4 linked regions of the Caenorhabditis elegans genome follow. The protein of the gene in region 2 purifies or fractionates together with the protein of the main gene of each other region. This does not show direct contact. Each region holds a gene or a part of one and is shown on either strand. Other genes may lie near its edges. The genes, in order: zig-12, C02D5.4, F07A11.5 and sec-24.1.

Region 1 (4,727 bases), on a different chromosome or scaffold from region 2:
GTTCAAATATAATAACAACATCAGTTCTTCACAAAAATTGTCGGAAAAAGATTTTCAATCCAAGAAACCTGATTTTTGAACAAAGCCTCTAAACAGTGTCTAATGAGACACTAGTTTCAGCGCACACATTTTTTTAAATGGAGGTTTTAGGACAAAGTTGATATGTTCAAACAATGAAAAATTAAATAAACATTTTGTTACTTTCTCAAACCTTTCATTAAAAATATGTTTCTTGAGTTACAGTCGTTTTAGTAATCATCGTCAAAAACGGACTCACGAGATGCCCGCCGCTTTATTACTTGCCATGTGATGGATGAATAATTGCAACATGTAAAAATACATAGGCCTGATCACGAGCTACATTTTACCAGTTGAAAATTTTTTGGTACCTTTCCTAGTTTTGAAGTTATGCCCATTGGAAAAAATATCGAAATCGTCAAAAAACTGAAAGTGGATATCTTTTTGGCCAGCACTGTATATATATATATTGATTTCTGTACTTGCAAGTATATCTTCTCATGTTCAATGTGTCAAGAAACTTTTTTATTTTGGCTGATACCAATTCATGTGCATGGGACACAAAGTTCAAATTACTTTGAGAAGACAAATACTACAAAACGTTAAAAGTTACAGAAGAAAAAAAAGCGGAAAGTGCAACTACCAAAATCGAAAATCAGAAGCAACGATTAACATGAAAATTGATTTGAGGCTTTATGAATTGAATTGTATGACAATTAAAAACCAAGGGAAAATTTATAAAATTAATCGAAAACCAAGTTCAACGCTTGTTGGTTTTGTCCTTCGGAGTTCTTGACAACGCACTTGTATTTTGCTTCATCGTCTTTTTGTGGTCCGGTGATTTCGAGTAGGAATTGGAATCCGTCTTTGTCCTTATCGTCCTTCTTTACAACAGCCTTAACTCGGTCAGTGAATTTCACTGGTTTTTCATCCTGGAAGAATGAATTAGTGAAAAATATGAAATTTACTTTTTTTCTGTTAATTTAAAAATGATTTATACTAGACGGTCGTTCAGAAAATTTTTTCCAAAACAAGTTTGTTAATTTTATTTATCAAAGCATTCCAAAAAAACTCAAACTTGGTTCCAAGCATGCCCATTGAAATGTTCATTTTTCATTTTTCATTTTACATTTTGAACCAGACAACAAGTGAATTCTTTTAATGTTTATTGAACCTTTTTGCTTTTAGTTTTTTGCGCCATTTCTCTTTTTTGTTCACTACTCAAAACTTCGCTCTATCTGCTCCATGAGCCTCAAGTATCTGTCTCGGCACAACCCAAAGGCGCGGACGAGGAGGCCTCCCAACTTTTGTCTTATTTCCACACTTCTTTACATTACCCATCTCTGCCTTTCTATTTTGAATCCCCTTGAGAAAGCCGGAGAGGTTCACTTCGACTAACATAAATGTGGAAATTAGGACAACTACATTTTTTTCTTCGGTGGAAGAAAGAAGACAAAAGAAAAAAGACACGTCAGTCAGTCGATCCATCTTCGAGAAGCTCTATTCTGGTTCAACCAAAATGAATTTAGCAATGCCAAGAAAAATACCGAATAAGAATTCAGGGAAATTTTTTCCCCTAAGATTCAAAGTAAGGTGACAGACATACCTTGAACCATTCGGCCTTCATCTCAAGGTGGGACTTTGCGCGGACCTTAATCACAATCACATTTCCGTTATCTCTTTGAACAATATGTGGCTTGTCATGGAAGTCTGGGGCGTCTGAAATTGTATGTGTAAGCTTTTAGTGTTTTTGATAATGAGCTCACTTCCTGCTGCGACTGTGAAGTTAGAGCTGTTCTCTCCATCGGCGTTGGCAAAGACGGCTTTGTATTCTCCGGCAAGTGGTTTATCAAAGTCCTATAAAATGATGATTTAAAGAAGCAAAAAGGTGTTTTGTTAACAGTTAAAATTCATAATTCCGATTATTTTTTATCACAGGTAAAGCGGGATTGCTCAGAAGCGGCCCAATGGCAGCTGATAAAATCGTTTTTGTGTTCGGAGTTTTTTTTTAAGCTTAGAAAAACGAAATTTGCGACCGGGGCGGTCGACAATCGGCTTATTGGCTGACATGGAGACAGACCACCGGCGGACATCAGTTTTTTTTTTCAGTCTGCGGCATTTTGGACCGTTGGACAGTTTTTCAGTTGCTTTTCCGTTTTACCAGTAATGTAGCTTATGTGGTTTGTTTTTCAACTACTACTATCATTAGTAACTTTTACAATTATAGTTCCTAATGTGAAGTTCAAACTGCACGGCTTTTTTTAATGTTTACTGAATTTTCAAAATTACAGTTCACGTTATTGATGTATATTTAATGTGAGATACGAAAAAAATAAAGAATATAGTAAAGTAAAAAGTATTTTGTAATGATGAATGTACTTAGAGTTTCCTTTTGATCAAATGCTTAACCGTTGTTATGTTTTGCTTTTCACCTCCCGACCGACAGCTAATTCTGCTTTTGCCGCACTTTTGCCCAAAATCTACGGTAAGTCCATCAAAAACCAATTAAACGCAGATCAAAACACATACAGACAACAGTTGCAGAGCGCATCGCAGCAATGGGACCATAAAATGACTCGTGAGTCGTTTTATGTGATTTATACGAGATGCTTTGGCAAACAGTTGCTCTCAAACTGACCTTGATTTCGGCAACAAACTTGGTGCGGTTGCCTCCTTCGTCACTGTTTGAGAACTTCAGGAACTCGTTCTCCTCAAGCTCGTCTGGTCCGAAAAACCACTGAATCTTAGAAACATCAGCTCCAGTGACGATGACCTGGAAGAAAACTTAGCAATTTTCAAAAGGAAAAGCAAATTCGTACCTCAAGGAACACCGACCCGTTCTCTGATCTAATTTTTGGTTCTCCGTAAATTGATGGTGGTGCCATATCTGAAAAAATTAAAATCTGTAGTTTTATGATTGAATACGAAGCCATGAATATACGGAATCTCGGTAACCTAAAGTTTTACACACTAAAAGAAAAGAGGGGCGTGTTTTCTGATCAGGTAAGAGCGCCGCCAAGAGCGAATGAAAAATGATCTGCCAATGTGTTTTTACCATCATTTATCCATTGAGTTCACAGGAAAATAGGAGACGAAAGACTTCTTGAACGGTAGTTCGTAGTGGCTTTTGGGTGGGAGAACTAAGCAAACAATGTTTTATGTTCTCAATGAACAAGCACAAGTAGGGGAATGTTGGAGAAGATCTAGACAAGATGTGTCAACAGTATTTTGAGGGAAAACACTTTATAATGCTGAGAAAAAAAAGAAAAAGGCAAAAAGACCAATGGTTGAAGGTTGAAAAATGCTTCGAAAATTGAATCACTGGTTTTTTGTACATATAACAGTTGATTTTAGTCATGTTTTTTGTGCATTGAGATCAGCACTCAAGAATAAATTTAAAAAAAACAAATTTGAGAGGAGAACAAAAAATATGAAGAGGAGAAAAATGATGTCTCGCTTGTAGTTTCCAACTGACAAAAGTGCCAAGAGGTCGCTGTTAGAGTCCCATTTTCCCTTTATCTTTTTCTCTGTTTCACGAAGGTGTTGTAATTTCTACTTCTTCTGCTGCTAAGCTCTTTCTCCGCCTCCTGGTCGCTAGTCGGAGAACGAAACGACGAAAAAAGATGGGAAAGATGAATGTCCCGGGAGCCCCCCGGAGCTGCCCACAGATTTTGCGGAGGAGGAGAAAGGTGGATGGGATGGCACTTCCCACCTAACTCTTCATTTCTCGTCGACGTTGAAGATCCCAAAATTTTTACAAAGTTCTCAATGAAGAGCTGCAGGGCGAAGGCAAAGTTGACGAGACACGCTTCACAAAGGATATTTGAGAGTATTTTGAAATCGGAATCAATGAGCAATTTGGGAACGGATGGAAATGACGTCGCTGGTTGTTGTATGAGTATTAAGGATTTCAAAAGTTGTTAAATGAAAATGCCACTTTGAAACTGAGCAACTCGAAAGCAATGGATTTATAGACCTGTCACAATAGGACGATCATGATGTGCACATTTTTGCAAATCGCGGCGTGCGCATTGTGCATGGTTTCATTGATGATATCTGCATTGTACGTTCATAATGTCAATTCTTCGCGGTTCTTTATGACCACATTGCAATTCAACTATGTAGGTTTAGCATTGGGTCAAAGAACAATTTAGTTGATTGGCCTCATCTTACAATAAGCTGCATAATTTCCTATTTAGAAAGAAACCAGAGAATAAGCTACCAGACTTGGCCGAATAGAGCAATGTGGAAAACGATATAGGACACTTAAATGCCCCAGTCGCGTTAAAAATTAAAATATATTGCCTTTCTAGGTCTCAAAATGAGATGAATCCCAAAAATGGTAAAAACATAAGCTGACAATTTTTCAGTTAAAAACAAATTATTTTATAATAAACTTATATGAACCAAACTGTTTTCATTCTTACTTTTTTCTATCCAACACCTTGTAAGTTTTCCATATTGTAATTCAGCAGTGGAACTCCACATTCAATCTGAAAATCATGTATCAAAAGATCAAATATTATGTTTCAGAGAGTTCAAAGAGTAAGAGTGATATTGTATAAAGATGCCGAGAGTGTGTGTAATTTGAAACTTCGGTACGTCAGGGAATACCTTTCTCAAATTATTTTTCAAGTGTGTAATTCAAATATTTTCGCATGAAAAATATTTTGTAGGAGCAAGAGATACAAAAGATAGAGAAAAGAATC
Region 2 (3,482 bases):
ACTTTGAACTATGCTACAAACCACATGTTGTAAAAAAATCAGTCACAAAATTGTGTTATTTCCTCCAAAAACACACACACACGAGAACGGTGAATTTGCATGATGACTTTTGAATCGAAGTTTGTTATCATTGCGATCTAAGAATTAATTGTGAATGGCGATCACAAATTTCCTCTACGTTTTTATTTCGCTATTCTCAATATGGCTTAAATTCAGTCTGAAAAATAAATTGTGTTTATTGGACGCATAACTTGATAATATAGCATATTGTTCTATACTGAAAAGTATAATTAAAGCACAGGAATTATGGACTGTGATATAGTGCCAATAAAATTATTGATGGTAGAATATATATCGTTTGAGAACATTTTGTGATCACCTCTGAAAACTATTTTGGAATTCAGTTGTTTTTTCCTTCGATGATTTTCGTTGTAACTTTTGTTTTTAGAATCGTCCACTTTTCTAATTTTTCTAATTCAACAAAATCATTATTATATCGAGAAATGTTTTATTAAATTCCACATATTCACATCCACAACACAAAGTTTAAAAATATAATAACAAATGTTTACAATCCATAGTCATAGTTTGGAGATCCACCGAGGTAATCCTTGAAGAATCCAACCCCATTCTCTGTTGGCTGACTGGCAGCGGCAACTTCTGGAATCGATTCCAGAGCCTTGTACCATTTGGATAGTCTTGGATAGTTTGGTCCTGGGAACGATTCAGCTTCCAATGGGAAATCTGGAACTATGTGTGCTGCCCAGTAAGCGCGTTGAATGTTCGGGTAGAGAAGATAGTCAACAAATCCAGGTTTTGAGGTTCCTGAAATTAATTCAAATAATTTTAAAATACACAAGACTAAAACTACAACTTAGTTTCTGTTCTTTATAAGTTTCGCATTCTCAATCTTAATTCTTAAAAAATACCTGAATAGAAATCTCCAGTCAATAACTGCTCAGCATTATCATACGCCTTCTTGATATCCGCAAATTTTTCTTCGCGGAGATCTGGATTTTTGACAGCTTGAACGACTCCGTAGAATGCAGGTGACACTTGTCCACTGATTCTATCCAACAATAACTTTTGCTGAACCTTCTCGTAAGGATCAGTTGGAAGAATACGAGTCTCTGGATAGATATCATCCAAATATTCTGGAATCACAGCTGATTCAATAACATGCTTCTTTCCTTCGTCGTGCTCCAATGTCGGAACTTGTCCTTTGTAATGTTTTGAGAAGTACCAGTCGGGTTTTTCTTGCAAGTGAACATTGATAACATCGCTCGGTATATTTTTAACAGATGCATAGATTAGAGCACGTTGAGCCCACGGGCAGAATCGCATGTTGTAGATACGAATGGTTCCAGCAGCCGGAGGAGCTGGCGCTGGGTCACCTGAAAAAATAATATTAAATTTCCGCAAAACTAAGATAGGATTTTCTAATAAATAATATTAAACTTGAACTTTAATCATATCCAACTATTTTTTGATAAAGTGGAACACTTCTTTACAATTTGAGCAAATTAAATACCATATTTTCCCTGAAAAAGAATTGCAACCCTATCAGAGTTGCACTTGAAGTTATTGATTGAGAAAAATAGTATTGCATATGCAATATGGACATACAATTATTATATTACTCTGTGATTAATTTTTTATCTTTTTTTGGGAATTCTTGAACTAAAATTGGAAATGAAGCCTTACCATTTTTGACGATTTTACTGTTTACTCCAGCAAGCACTGTCATGTTTCTTTGAGAAATGAATCGGCGAATAAGTCTGAAAATTTAATTTATATTTTGATGGAATAGTAAAAGACAAGAGTTCTAAATCAAATTTAAATGAAATAAAATCTTCAATACTTCAGATTTTTAAAGAAGGCAAAAATTAAGTCTAGTCTTCAGAAAGTGATGCTCAAAGTGAAGAATAGTTTGGTATAAATAGTCTTTTTATGGAGGAGAGTGAAATAGAGAAGAACGAGAAGACAGAAATGATGACAAACATCTCTGTTTAATAGTCTGCGTATCGTCTCTTTTCAAGGATTGCCTGCGTTTTTCTTCGCGGCATGTCATTGGTTATTGACCTTCCCAAGGACTTTTTGATCCTTAAATTACCTCGAATTTATAGTTTGCATACTGAATGAATGAAAATTGAGTGGAGATTCTGAAAATGAGATTGCACAGTTTTTCAGAAGTAAAGTACGCTAAAGAATTTGGAAAAAATTGAGAAGTTCACGGTGGAAAACTATATTTTAGAATCAGAGGATAATGGGGCACCAGAAAAGATGAGGATGATGAAACTAGAAGTTTGAGTATTATGGATCAAAATTGCTGAATGTTCAGAGTTTAATGATGAGAATAAGACAACACAGAAATCACGGGGTTCCTCTCTCCCCCTTCAAAACGAATTTGAACTTTGTAGCATAGCTGTGCTACAAACCACATATTGGCACAAAATACAGACACACACAAACGTTGCTCTTCCTGTGAAGTAAAGTAGAAACACAGTTTGCCAATAGATTTTTCTTAAAAATTATGTTCTTTTAAAGATGAGATGATAATGAAATAGACTTTCTGCCAAGATCATTGCGATCAAAATGTTTCTAGAAAATGATGTCTGGCGATTTCCCAATTTCATCAGATTTTAGTCATCTAAATTGTTGCAGAAATCATGTCTGAAGTAGAAGGCCTGTAGGCACAGAAATACCTGCCTCGTGTCGACAAGCGCACCTACTGCCAACAACTATACCACTCAACTAAAAAGTAACAAAAAATTGCAGAAAACTATAAACGTTTGGCCAACTTTGGCAAGAAGCTAGTGCCAAATGCTGACAATGAGTGGTCGGTAGGTAGTCCGGTGCCTTTACTTTAATTCCAATTACGGAGTTATGTAGACCAATTCTAAGACTTTGAACTATCTTACAATATTGTATTGCAATATAGAGATTAATATCTTTCAAGAAAAATGCACCAGGTCGGTATTGTTCGAAAAGAAAATTGGAGTTTGTGACAGTCACGATAAAAATAACTGTTAAAAATGATAACTTGTGCTTACTAAATTTCATCAGAATATTCGTCACATAGTGTGGGTTACACATCAGACTGGATAATGGGAGTAGGCCTTCAAATGCTGATAATATGAAGCATGAAATTCTGAAATGGAAGTGGACGGTAACTGCATTTCGAAAACTTCGGAATTTTTCTATGGTTCTGAACACATTTACATCAATTCTAAGCAAAAGTACATGAAATTGAGTAAGCACAAGTAATCATTCGTGATAATTGTTCTGATTGGAAAGGTCACAGAAGCTAGAACAAGTTATTGAAGTTTCAATTAAACATGTGTTTTTCTTTTTCTTTTCCAGTCTAATCAAGTAAGAACATAAATTCAAACTTTAAATGAATGCGAGATAAGTTTGCCGAGCTTCTTGAAAACAACTGGAAAAATTCAAACATCTGAAAGAGAATTTTAAATGAAAACAAG
Region 3 (4,643 bases), on a different chromosome or scaffold from region 2:
TCAGATGTATGATCTAACGGGAGTAGTATGCCATAGTGGAAACAGTTACTTCGGTCATTATATTAGTATGGGTCGACTCGCCGATTTTGATTCGTCGAAAACGAAAATCGAATGGAGGAATTTCGATGATTCGACGGTGGCTCGGCAGTCTACGAGCACTTTACAAACGGAGGATGCTTACTTACTCTTCTATAAAATGAGAGATCAGAATGTGACGAGGAGTATATTCAAGTGAGTTGGAAACCCCAAGAACTATAAATCTGGGAAAGAATTTCCTGAAATTCAAGAAAATCGATAAATCCTGAGAACGGCTTTTTTTGAGACGAAGACGTTCAAATAATTGAGATAGTTTCCAGCACGGTATTGATAGTATGATAGTTGATTAGAAAGCACTATTGTAATAAGCAAATTGATAATTGAATTTGTAAGCATTGGATAAAAGTGAGAACTGATTGATTCAGCTTCAGATTTGGACAATTTATATATTCCAAATCTAAATAATAAGTTCCACGACCGAGGTCACGCAAATTGAAAATTTTTTTCTTAAATTTTTCTTTAAAAAATTAAATAAAAATTTTGGATTTCAATAATAAGAAACCGTGATTTGCTTGTTTTTTCAAAACTTTTAGGCAAAGATTTCATAAATCGCCAAAAAATTGTGAATTTCTGTGGTTATTTAAGATATCCTGCAGGTTCGAGCTCCTAGAATTTGAAAAAAACAATTAGTACGAAATTAGTAAAAAAAAACCAGGATAACATATTTTGACCGACTTACAAGGTAATGCTTGAAAACTGAATGTTCAGAACTTTTTCACTGGAATAAAAATTTCAAAAAAGGTTTTGAAAGTTTTTCCATAATATTTTTTATTTTGGAACTAGTTGTTCATTTTCAAACTGATGAGTTTTTTTTTTTTTTTAATGATTTAATTTTTAATGATCACCGCGCTGGGTTTTTATCAAAGTAACCTATTCCGATCAATGAACAATTTTTTATTTCAGACGCCACTACTCGTGTGATCCTGGAGCTCCAGAAGAAGTCAAAATTTAGTCATTTTTCTAGATTTTCATAAATTCATCAATTTTTTTTTCCACGTGTTGTTCATTGTCTTCATTTCTTTCAAAACCTGTTACCATGTTTTTAGATATTACATCTTTGATTTAATATTTATATATTTTTCATTAATTTTCCTAATTTTATTGATTATTAAAATAACAATTGTTTGAATCCACGGAGACCGGTTTCAGTTTTTTTTTTGTTCCCCGAAGAGAATAAATTAATTTCAAAATTAAAATTCTGTCCTTGACTGCAAAGGAAAAAAAGAAAAAAGAAATCAAGATAAGCCGATGAAAATTGATAAGAAGGGGAAAAGATAAGATACGAGTTCCAAATATTATCTGTTTTTAGTTCAATGCATTTTGAGGCCATTCACGTGCCATTTTGCAGGCCTACGTGCCTGCCTATCGCCTGATTTCTGAATTTTGGCCCGTGATATATGACGCCATTGTTTTGTTTTTTTTTCACATAAAATCACTGTCAGTGAAAATTTTTAAAGATCAAAAAAATAACCAAAACAATTAATTTTTGATCACAATTTTATCTGACCTGAATGGTTTAAAATGGGAACATTATCTGTTTGGGAACCTTCAAAAAAAATTTTTTTGCTTTTTTTAAAATTTGCTTTTGGTTTTTGAAAGCTTTTTCTAGGAATTATAGGGTCTGTCATCATTGTAGGTTCTTCATGCGAACGGGCCTACGTGCCTGCCTACAAATTATTTGCTTCGCTTTCAAGAGGACTAACATGTTTCCTTTCAGTAGAGTGTAGGCATGAGGCAGGCAGGCATTTTTAGCCACCTAAAAAATTTCTGGAAAATAATACTACGTGTGTCTTATTCTCTTACCATAACTGACCAGCTGCCAAATTTGTTGGCAAACAGTTTTTGCCCTCAACAAGCTAACCACCTGATTCTCTTTCTCTCTTCTCTTTTTTGTGTTTCTTTGATTATTTGACACGTGCTATCAATCGCATTTTTATTTTTTTATTTCAGAATTTTCTAAATTAAAAAAAAAGCATATCGTTATGTCAAGTGAAAACCAGAAAATCGTGGTTTTCGGAAGTATCGTTCAGGATCTTGTCAGGTCTGTTTTTTTTAAATTTTATCTTTCATTAAACAATTTTACATTATAAACTACCAATTTCCAGCTACACAGATAGTTTCCCAAGACCTGGAGAGTCGGTGCGCGGTCACAATTTCAAGCTGGGCTCCGGCGGAAAAGGCGCCAATCAGGCAGTTGCTGCGGCTCGCCTAGGGATCAATGTCTCAATGATTGGAATGGTTGGAGAAGATATGTTCGGAGATTCTAATATTAAGGATTTGAGCAGCAATGGAGTTGATACAAGTTGTGTGGGACGGACCAAAAAGACACATACCGCCACAGCGACTATCACTGTTAACAAAGAAGGTTTGTATCCGAGTTTTGGCGGGAAAAAAATATTTAAGATTATGTGTGGCCTCTTGAATGTCTTGAAGAAACATTCAATATTTGTAGCAAGACCCTACCTCTAAGAAAAAATTGCCAACCGGGTTAAGAATAAGTTCCTATAGCTATATCTGTTCTTATAGCTCGTAGATCACTGAAATTCTAATTTTGTTCTGAAAACGATTTGTCTACGTTCATAGAATCTATTTTCTCTTTCTTTTTCCCCCATTTTTTTGGTGACGTAATATAAATAACTTATTATTTCGAAGAACCTTCAGTGACGACGACAAACAAATAACTTTGAACTGGAACTAATAGTAAGAAGTGGGGGAGAGAGGGTAAGGAGAATTACAAATTTTTAGACTCAAAAAGTGAGCTCAAAATGTGATGCATCTAGTAGAAAATTGGAATTTGACATATGTAGAAAAAATATTTCAAATAGCATCTACAGACATGAAAAGTTCGATTTGTTACAGTGCAATTGAGGTGTAAAACTATTAAAATATGGTAAATTCGAAAAATTAAATTTTCTTGATTTTCAGATTTACATGAGACTTACATTATTTCAAATCCAAATTCCAAAATTTCCAGGCGAAAACAACATTGTGGTGACGCTGGGTGCAAATCTTGAAATGTCGCCTGAAATCGCTGATGCGAACTCTTCAAAAATTGCTGGCTCGAAAATGGTCATTTGTCAGGGAGAAATTGACGAAAAAGGAAATAGAAGAGCCTTCGAAATTGCTAGAAGTCACGGAGTCACCACTTTTTTAAATCCAGCTCCTGGGGATCCGAATATGGATAAGACGATTCTCGAGCTGGTTGATATTATTTGTACCAATGAGAATGAAGTAGGTCTATGTTATTTTTTCTAATCAATTGAACTTTTCCAAATATTGTTCTGAACAAAAAATAAATTAAATTTCAACTTTCCAGGCGGAATTCATCACTGGAATCGCTCAAAACAACGTGAAAGACGCTGAAAAAGCAGCACGTGCAATGCTCAAAATGGGACCTCAACATGCGATCATAACTCTCGGAGGCAAAGGTTGGGGGACTTACACTGGGATAATTTGAAACAATAAATTTTTTTTTGAATTGTAGGTGTCCTGCTTGCATCCAAAGGAGTCGATGATGTTGAGCATACCGCCGTGATCAAAGTCGATGCAGTTGATACTACGGTAATACTAAAAAATAAATTTTGTCCGAGCTTGGGTCCCACCACAATATATTTTTTGAAACGAAAGAAATTAGTTGCCTTTCTAGTTATTTTTAGTTAAAAATGTTGTGCATGGGCCTCTAAAAAACTACTTTATCAAAATCAAAATTTTTGGCGCAAGTTTTCTACAGTAACCTGGAGGAAATATGAACAAGATCAATCTGCATATAGGTATAATATTAATTGAAAATTCCAGGGAGCCGGTGACTGTTTCTGTGGTTCACTGGCTGCTCATTTGGTTGCCGGCCATCCGATTTCCGCATCAATACGCTCGGCTGCCAACTTGGCCGCACTTTCTGTGACACGTCATGGAACTCAATCGAGTTATTGGAAGCTCGACGAGATTCGCCAACAATACCCGGAATTCTTGCCTTAAAACTTATTACAGTGTCTTTCAAGAAATTTGTGATTAGGTCTGAAATAAAAATTCTGCTTTCCAAACACATTTTATACTTTCAATATGTTTTAATTAGCTGTTGAACATTGCAGGGAGCCTGAATTTTTTGAAAATTTGGAAATTTACCGTTTAATGTTAATGTTTGTTCCAAAATAACACAATTCTCCTATAATGAATTTCTTTCCCGTTTTGTTATTTTCCTTTTCAACAAATTTAAATGCTGAAAATTTAATTTCCAGAATCGCATAGTCATTGTGTATAAAGAAATTTGCGTAAATTCAATTATTTCATTGTTTTCGTTTTTCGAGCGAGTCGAGAGCTTCTCCGATAAAAATACAGACGAAAGACAAGAATGATGAATTAAATAATATAAGAATGACGACAAATTGGAAAATGTTTAAATAGTAGATGGGACGGGGGGGGGGGGGGAGGTCTTAAACTAACATTTTACGAAAACTGATCCGCTATTTTCATGAGAGACTTGAATTAGTGTCTAGTAGGGAGGAAAATTGAGAAAGCGGTGTGCCAAAAAGACAGAAATCCTTCCGGCG
Region 4 (6,371 bases), on a different chromosome or scaffold from region 2:
TTTCAAAATTGATGGTCTTGCAGCTATTCTCTTTACAATAACGCCGACCACGAAGATTTCCTCGTCTTGTTTAGCATCGCTCAATTGTGAATGCGTGAATTTTCCCTTGCCTGAAGATAAAAATTAAGGTTTATTAGTAATATTATAATTCTAACCAATTTCACGTTCTGCATTTTCCAAAATACGAGGTTTCAGTTCCTTCAAGCGAGCTTCGTAGACTTCAAAGTACTGTCTAGTGAACGCACCTGAAAGAAAATAACTTTTTAAAGCTTAGAGCAAAATATAAATACCTTTTTTATCTTTTTCAGTGAGAATGTATCGATCTGAGACATTCTTATAGTTTAGGATGTTGGACCAAGCGGTTTCCATTCTTAAAATAAAGAAAAAAATCAATTCAAGAAGGCAAATTTGTCAATGTTGAAATTTCGCGGCAAATTGCGTTAGAGCGCGTTAACATTACACCGAAGTGAATTTCAAAAATATAATATTCACAAAGTCAACATATTCGATTCTCAAATGTTTAATCAAAAACATTTTATTTTCATAAGACACCATCAAATTAAACACATTCGATCCCATTTCAAATCACAATAAATTATATGGACGGGGTAATAGGGGATATTTTACAAAAAAAGGAACAATAAATAGAAATCTCTAAAAGTCGCGAGAGCAACTGGAAAAGAATAAATTAGGAATCTGGGAAAAAGCAGATAAAACAAATTCTATTTTTGCACTGATAAGGTGCTAGGAAAGCTAATATCTTAATTTTTACAAACCATGCTCCATAATATTAAAAGAAAATAGTACGGCGAGAGGGAAGGAAATGAATGTGTACAAAGAAACCGGTACAAAATATTAATTCTTCCAACATTTCTAATCACAAGATTTGCTTTGGCGTGATCAAAATAATATGAAGGAAGAACAAAGGGAACAATCAAGAGAAGCAATTCTATCACAGTATCAACGACTTAGGAAATGAGATCGCGGATTTTGCGATGGATATCCACAAGGTAATCAACGTATGACATATTAGCAGGACCAGCCTTGTCTTCCACTAAAAATTTCTTCATCCATGGCTCAAGGCCGCTTTTTTCCACGACAACGAACGTTTTTCGCTCTCGGATCCCACGTGGCAAAAGTTGAATTGCACGACGAAGAGCACGTGAATGACCATTGTCTTTTTCCGGAATTGTTCCCTGAAAAATGTAATTGACTAATTGAACGTAGCAATTGATAACTTACACTCTCGGTATCAATTTGATTTGTAGCACCAACACCAAACACGTCTTGAACCCATGTCTGGGGGCATGCAGAGCCAACCCAGACAAACAGAATAACACCGTTATCAATAATATAGGCTTTCGAATTTTCCAGGAACTCAGAACTCGCTCTAACAGGTTTTGGAAGATCCTTCATTTCTTCAGTATCATTGATTTGTAGATCAGAGATTGGCATAACTCTTGGATAAATAAGAGGCATGACATTTTCAGTTCGTAGCCCACGGATCAATTCCATCTGCCACACTTTGTCGTCGACTGTCATTTCACTTCCTCCACTGATCGCATCATTTTTCAAAATAGAGTTCACATAGAGCGGCATCAATTTCAGAGATTCAGGAAGAATCAGTTGTCCAAGTGGGGCACCTTCACTACACTTCTCTCGATAGGTCGCTAGGAATTGTGCACAACGAGAAGAAAGTGATTCTCTCATTTCTGAGCTTCCCTTGTCACGATTCAATTGAACAGCTTGCTTCAACATGAATGCTGTCAATGCTTCCGGATCAGCAAGTCGGTAAACTTGGTTGTAATCAGCAGTAACTGGAAGGCATAAGTTCAAAATTCGCAAACGGCGCTGTCCAGTCATCGACGTATACAGTACAGCGGTTTGAATGAAGGAAGCTGGATCTTTCAGACTATCATCATGTTTGATTTCTGTGATGAATGCTTTGCTTTCATCCAATGTAGCCAATTCCAAATCCGTTGAGTTTTCCATGTAAAAGGAGCCAGTAAAAGTGATAGGACGAATTCCTGTAGACGTTCTTACTCTTGCCATGCAGTCGAATGCAATTTTCTTAGAAACGTGTCGTTCCAACTCATTCAACATGCGAACACCGTCTTTATCGGCCTGAAATAAAAATAAAATTAATAAAATTATTGGTTTTTCTTTAAATTTACCGAGAAATACTGAAATTTGAAAATAGATCCTCCCGTAACTGCAGAAAGCTGACCAATTGTGGCAACATCAATGAAAGCATTTGGGAAGAGGAATAAATCGACAGTAACTCCTGACTTGACACATTGCTCTCCCAACTTCGTGTATGAATCTTCTTGTGGAACCAGTGCATTCTTTTCTTTATCTGTCCCGAGAAGAGATCGATCATTTTTGGATTTCAGCTTTCCCGGTGCATCATATGTTGGTAGAACAGTTGAAAACAGAATCACTTTTCCTGCTCTGTCGGCACACTTCAAAGCGTCAAGACCGGCTTGTACGACGGGTTGAAGAATGGTTTCGGTGGTTTTCGACTGCGAAAAGAGTTTAGGAATTTCAGCCAATGCGGCACGAAGTCCAGGAAGTGCCTCGTTGTAAGGGAGAAGAAGTCCATCGACCATAGGAACAAATGGCTCTTGAACATCAGCTAAAAACAGTACATATTTAGACAAATTTTTATAAGTTTATCAAACTTACACATTACGAGCATTTTTGGAGATGCCGACGAAATGTCAAAGAAATGAACCGCCTGATCGAATGTAGCCAATCCTATACGCATAGACGACTCGAGCTGTCCAGATTCTCTTGGCAAATTTCGAAGTACTTTCTCCAGATTTTGACAAAGAATTGGAAGCATTCCGTTTGAAATAGCATTGTAGGATACATCAATCATAAATATGAAGGCCGGTTCTTTTGGCGCGATTCCATTCTAAAAATGTCACTTAGAATTTTTGAAAATTGCGATTTTTTTAATTACGTACCTTGCAGTATTGTTTTGTAGCTACGAGATCATACGCTCCAAGACAGAGTTCTGGACGCATTTCAATATCAGTTCTTCTGCCTGTATGATCGAGATGGGCGAAATAAGCATCTTCGACAGAAGTTCGAGCATGGCAAAATGGACAACGGAAGGAGCGTCCACCATCTTGGAATTCCATAAACGGACAAATGTATGCCTTACAACGCTGGCAACGAATCGGTCCTTGTGGTCCCAGATCGACGACTGGTGGTTCTTTCTGAAATTGAAAATAATTGATTATTCATTTTTGAAAAATTAAAAAAAAAACCTCATATTCAGTCAGAGATGCGAATGGCGAAATGACAACGGCGAGCGGAATCTGCGATGCTTTCAAAATGTCATTAGTCTGTGGAGCTGTGTAGAGGGTTGATCTCATAAATTTGGGGTTGCAGTTTCCTTGATCTTGAGCGAAAGAATTTGTAGAAACAAGTGGCGGCAATTCAGCGTTCGGATATCCAGTTGGGAAGATCCCGCTACGAGTCGACGAATCATCATCAATAACTTGAACAGCACTTGGCATCATATTAGGATCAAGACGTTGTTGTCGTTGCTGTGGTGGGCCGCCGGGGTATCCACCTTGCATTCCCGGCATACCTGGACCTCCTGAGGGATATCCGCCGGGACCTCCTGGGCCTGGAGCTCCTGGAGCGAATGATCCTGGCATTCCTGGTCCTCCTGGGCCTGGGGCTCCCGGGGGAAATGATCCCGGCATTCCTGGTCCTCCTTGTCCTGGAGGGAATGCTCCTGGCATCCCTGGTGCAACTGGAGCTGAGGCTCCCGGAGGAAATGCTCTTGGCATGCCTGGGCCTTGTGGAATATCTGCTGGGCCAGAGGGATATGATCCTGGAACTTGTGGACCGGGTGGAAACGAGCCCGCTGTGGGTTGTCCTGGTGGAAATCCTCCTGTGCCAGGTGGGATGAACGAATTGGGCGCTTGAGGCACTTGTGGAGCACCTGGGTAAGCGCTAGGAGCAGAAGATGGTCCACCTGGGTAGCCTTGAACATTTTGTGAAGTGGGTGCTCCAGCTTGGAACGAACTTGGAGAGCCGCCTGCCTGTGGAAAACCAGGGATTTGTGGTCGAAGCGGAGTGGGTTGATGGATCTGATGTGGTTGTGGCGGCAGATGAGCTCCTTGGTTCATTTGCGGAATTCCCGGAGTCGGAGCAGGCGCTTGTTGCATTGCTTGAAGTGGACCTGCAGGTGTGGCACTAGGAGCTAAAATAGAAGTTTTAGCTTTGCCTCTATAAACACTATTTACCTTGAACACTTTGAGGTACAGCGGCGAACTGTTGAGGAGTTTGCTGTCTCTGTACTTGTTGCAATTGCTGTGGTGGAGCTCCGGGATATCCTGCTGGCTGGTACGGATCTTAAAATTAAACTTAACGGATTAGCGAAAAAAAAGCAACTCACTTGGGGGTTGTGCTGACGGAGTTGATCTAGCTCCAATAGACATATTATTCACAGATTGTGCCAAGTGAGACGAATTTCCATTTAAGCCTCCATTTTGATACTGTCCATTTGGTTGCTGATGGGGTGGAGGAAATCCACCTGGGACTTGAGCTGGCTTTTGCGGCGCTGCTAAAACAATTGTTGTATTATGCAAATGTTCATATAAACTCACCTGGAGGGGGAAATCCGTTTGACTGAAACTGCGGCTGTTGGTTAAATTGCTGTTGAGGATATCCGGGCATTTGCCCGTTTGGTGGCGGCTGATATGACATCCTGGAACAAGTATAAAGATTATTTTATATTTTTCAAAATAAAAAAGCTAGAAATCGAGCTAGAAATTAATTAAATCCCGAAAAGAACGTTGATTTTGCTGTAAAGTTCCATGTCACAGCGCGATCCACCGTGTACGCAAACGTCGCGGTGGGCAAATCGCTGCGAGACCCAGCGTGCTGCGTCTCTTCAGGCAACAGCTGTCTCTCTTCATTTCGGCACTTTTTGAATTTTAATTTTTTGTTTTGTTGTTTTTTTTTCTTTTTTCTTTGTTTCCGTAAATGGAAATGTTGATAATTATTTAGATTACACCTAGGCGATTAAAAATTACTATTTGAATCAGGATTCTGTAGGTTTTGAATAGAATATTACCCGCTAGTACTGCTTGTTCAGTTTAATTCGGGAAATCCTTCTAAACTCCAACTAGATGTGATAATAGACCTTATTAATAATATCGATGCACGTTTTTGTGTGCTCAAAATTACAAAAATTTGGCTAAACACATTTATATTCAAAGTAAGGTTTCAAAAAAAAAAAATTTCCTCACGATATTCATTAATGAGGTTCTTATTATTTATGCTAATTGTGGTATAGATCGCCAGCTGTTTCTCAATCCCTTTCTCGTTTTCCGTATTTCGTATTCAAACCGCACCGCCCTTCTCTGTTTTTCTGGATCTCACCGTCCATTACTGGCAACAATAGGAAAGAGTTTTCTTTTATTCTGACCTCTTCCCTCCCTATTCAGTATGTTTGTACAGTTTCCATTTACATTAGTCACTCGCTCACTTTTTGACTTTTTTTTTGCAATCTTTCGGCCCACTCAAACCCTCAAGAAAATGTATCAGTTTCAACTTTGTTCCTATAAATATTGATATCAGGGTGTCTACACGTTTCACTGTTTTTTTGTATCCCGGAACATTAGTAACACAAATGACCCGATTCCAATGGCAATTAGGCGCTTCGAATCCTTTCACCGTCTGCCACTTATGGTCTCAAGGTTAAGTTATTATTGTTACTGTCAGGTACTACCCATCGGATAAAAAGACGATTGAACATCCCTCACGAATGTTTAATTTCGAACTCTATTGAATATACTTGTAAGAAATATTATTTTGTGCTTATAGTTTTTTCAAAAAATGCTTTTAAGCTTCAGTTTGACAAATAAATTCGGCTTCGTTAGCTGAATTTCCCTTGCCCTTTCACTTTTGATCAATTAGTGCAGAACGACGGATGGTTTAAATTTTACGATTCCCTAAAGACTTCATTTCCCAGGCACGATGCTAAAATAATGTAATTGTGTATCAGAAGCGAAGTGAAATCGGTAGAGAACACTTGCGTCAGGTGTCACATATCCTTTTTTGGTCCTTTTCCTTCGTTCTATTCACGTCCATTAGGTATTTATTACTTTATTAGAGCTTGTTATGACGAATGAGCCGCGGATAAACAATGCATGTTCTTTTACTTCTTTTGAGTGTGTGCCGCCCGCATCCGCCGCTCAACACATCCATTATGATGCTAATAAGTTTTATCCTTATTTTGTCGGTCATGAATTATACAAATCCGCATTTATTTTACTTACCCGATTTTTAATGACAATTTTGAGTTATGAACTTGAAAGCATTGAAATTATTTTGATCAATTTGTG

What was found.
Region 1: the proteins of C02D5.4 (region 2) and zig-12 fractionate together in Caenorhabditis elegans (co-fractionation; one large-scale study listed by BioGRID). This does not show direct contact.
Region 3: the proteins of C02D5.4 (region 2) and F07A11.5 fractionate together in Caenorhabditis elegans (co-fractionation; one large-scale study listed by BioGRID). This does not show direct contact.
Region 4: the proteins of C02D5.4 (region 2) and sec-24.1 fractionate together in Caenorhabditis elegans (co-fractionation; one large-scale study listed by BioGRID). This does not show direct contact.

What each region holds. Positions count from the first base shown.
Region 1 is NC_003284.9:8,762,085-8,766,811, reverse strand, and holds zig-12 (Ig-like domain-containing protein), read right to left. Parts: upstream 2,906-4,727; 5' UTR 2,904-2,905; coding exon 2,838-2,903; intron 2,792-2,837; coding exon 2,657-2,791; intron 1,876-2,656; coding exon 1,785-1,875; intron 1,738-1,784; coding exon 1,625-1,737; intron 1,480-1,624; exon of another isoform or gene 1,334-1,479; intron 951-1,333; coding exon 762-950; 3' UTR 532-761; downstream 1-531.
Region 2 is NC_003281.10:8,550,851-8,554,332, reverse strand, and holds C02D5.4 (Glutathione S-transferase omega), read right to left. Parts: upstream 1,779-3,482; 5' UTR 1,748-1,778; coding exon 1,705-1,747; intron 1,395-1,704; coding exon 930-1,394; intron 826-929; coding exon 569-825; 3' UTR 503-568; downstream 1-502.
Region 3 is NC_003280.10:11,610,259-11,614,901, forward strand, and holds F07A11.5 (Ribokinase), read left to right. Parts: upstream 1-2,041; 5' UTR 2,042-2,078; coding exon 2,079-2,137; intron 2,138-2,201; coding exon 2,202-2,461; intron 2,462-3,070; coding exon 3,071-3,327; intron 3,328-3,412; coding exon 3,413-3,524; intron 3,525-3,580; coding exon 3,581-3,657; intron 3,658-3,891; coding exon 3,892-4,071; 3' UTR 4,072-4,133; downstream 4,134-4,643. Other genes in the region: F07A11.4 (ubiquitinyl hydrolase 1), read left to right, coding at 5-231, 1,000-1,048.
Region 4 is NC_003282.8:11,561,464-11,567,834, forward strand, and holds sec-24.1 (Protein transport protein Sec24C), read right to left. Parts: upstream 4,732-6,371; 5' UTR 4,729-4,731; coding exon 4,629-4,728; intron 4,586-4,628; coding exon 4,418-4,585; intron 4,374-4,417; coding exon 4,266-4,373; intron 4,223-4,265; coding exon 3,276-4,222; intron 3,225-3,275; coding exon 2,970-3,224; intron 2,918-2,969; coding exon 2,686-2,917; intron 2,636-2,685; coding exon 2,175-2,635; intron 2,125-2,174; coding exon 1,243-2,124; intron 1,197-1,242; coding exon 969-1,196; 3' UTR 523-968; downstream 1-522. Other genes in the region: pold-2 (putative DNA polymerase delta small subunit), read right to left, coding at 1-110, 156-245, 291-369.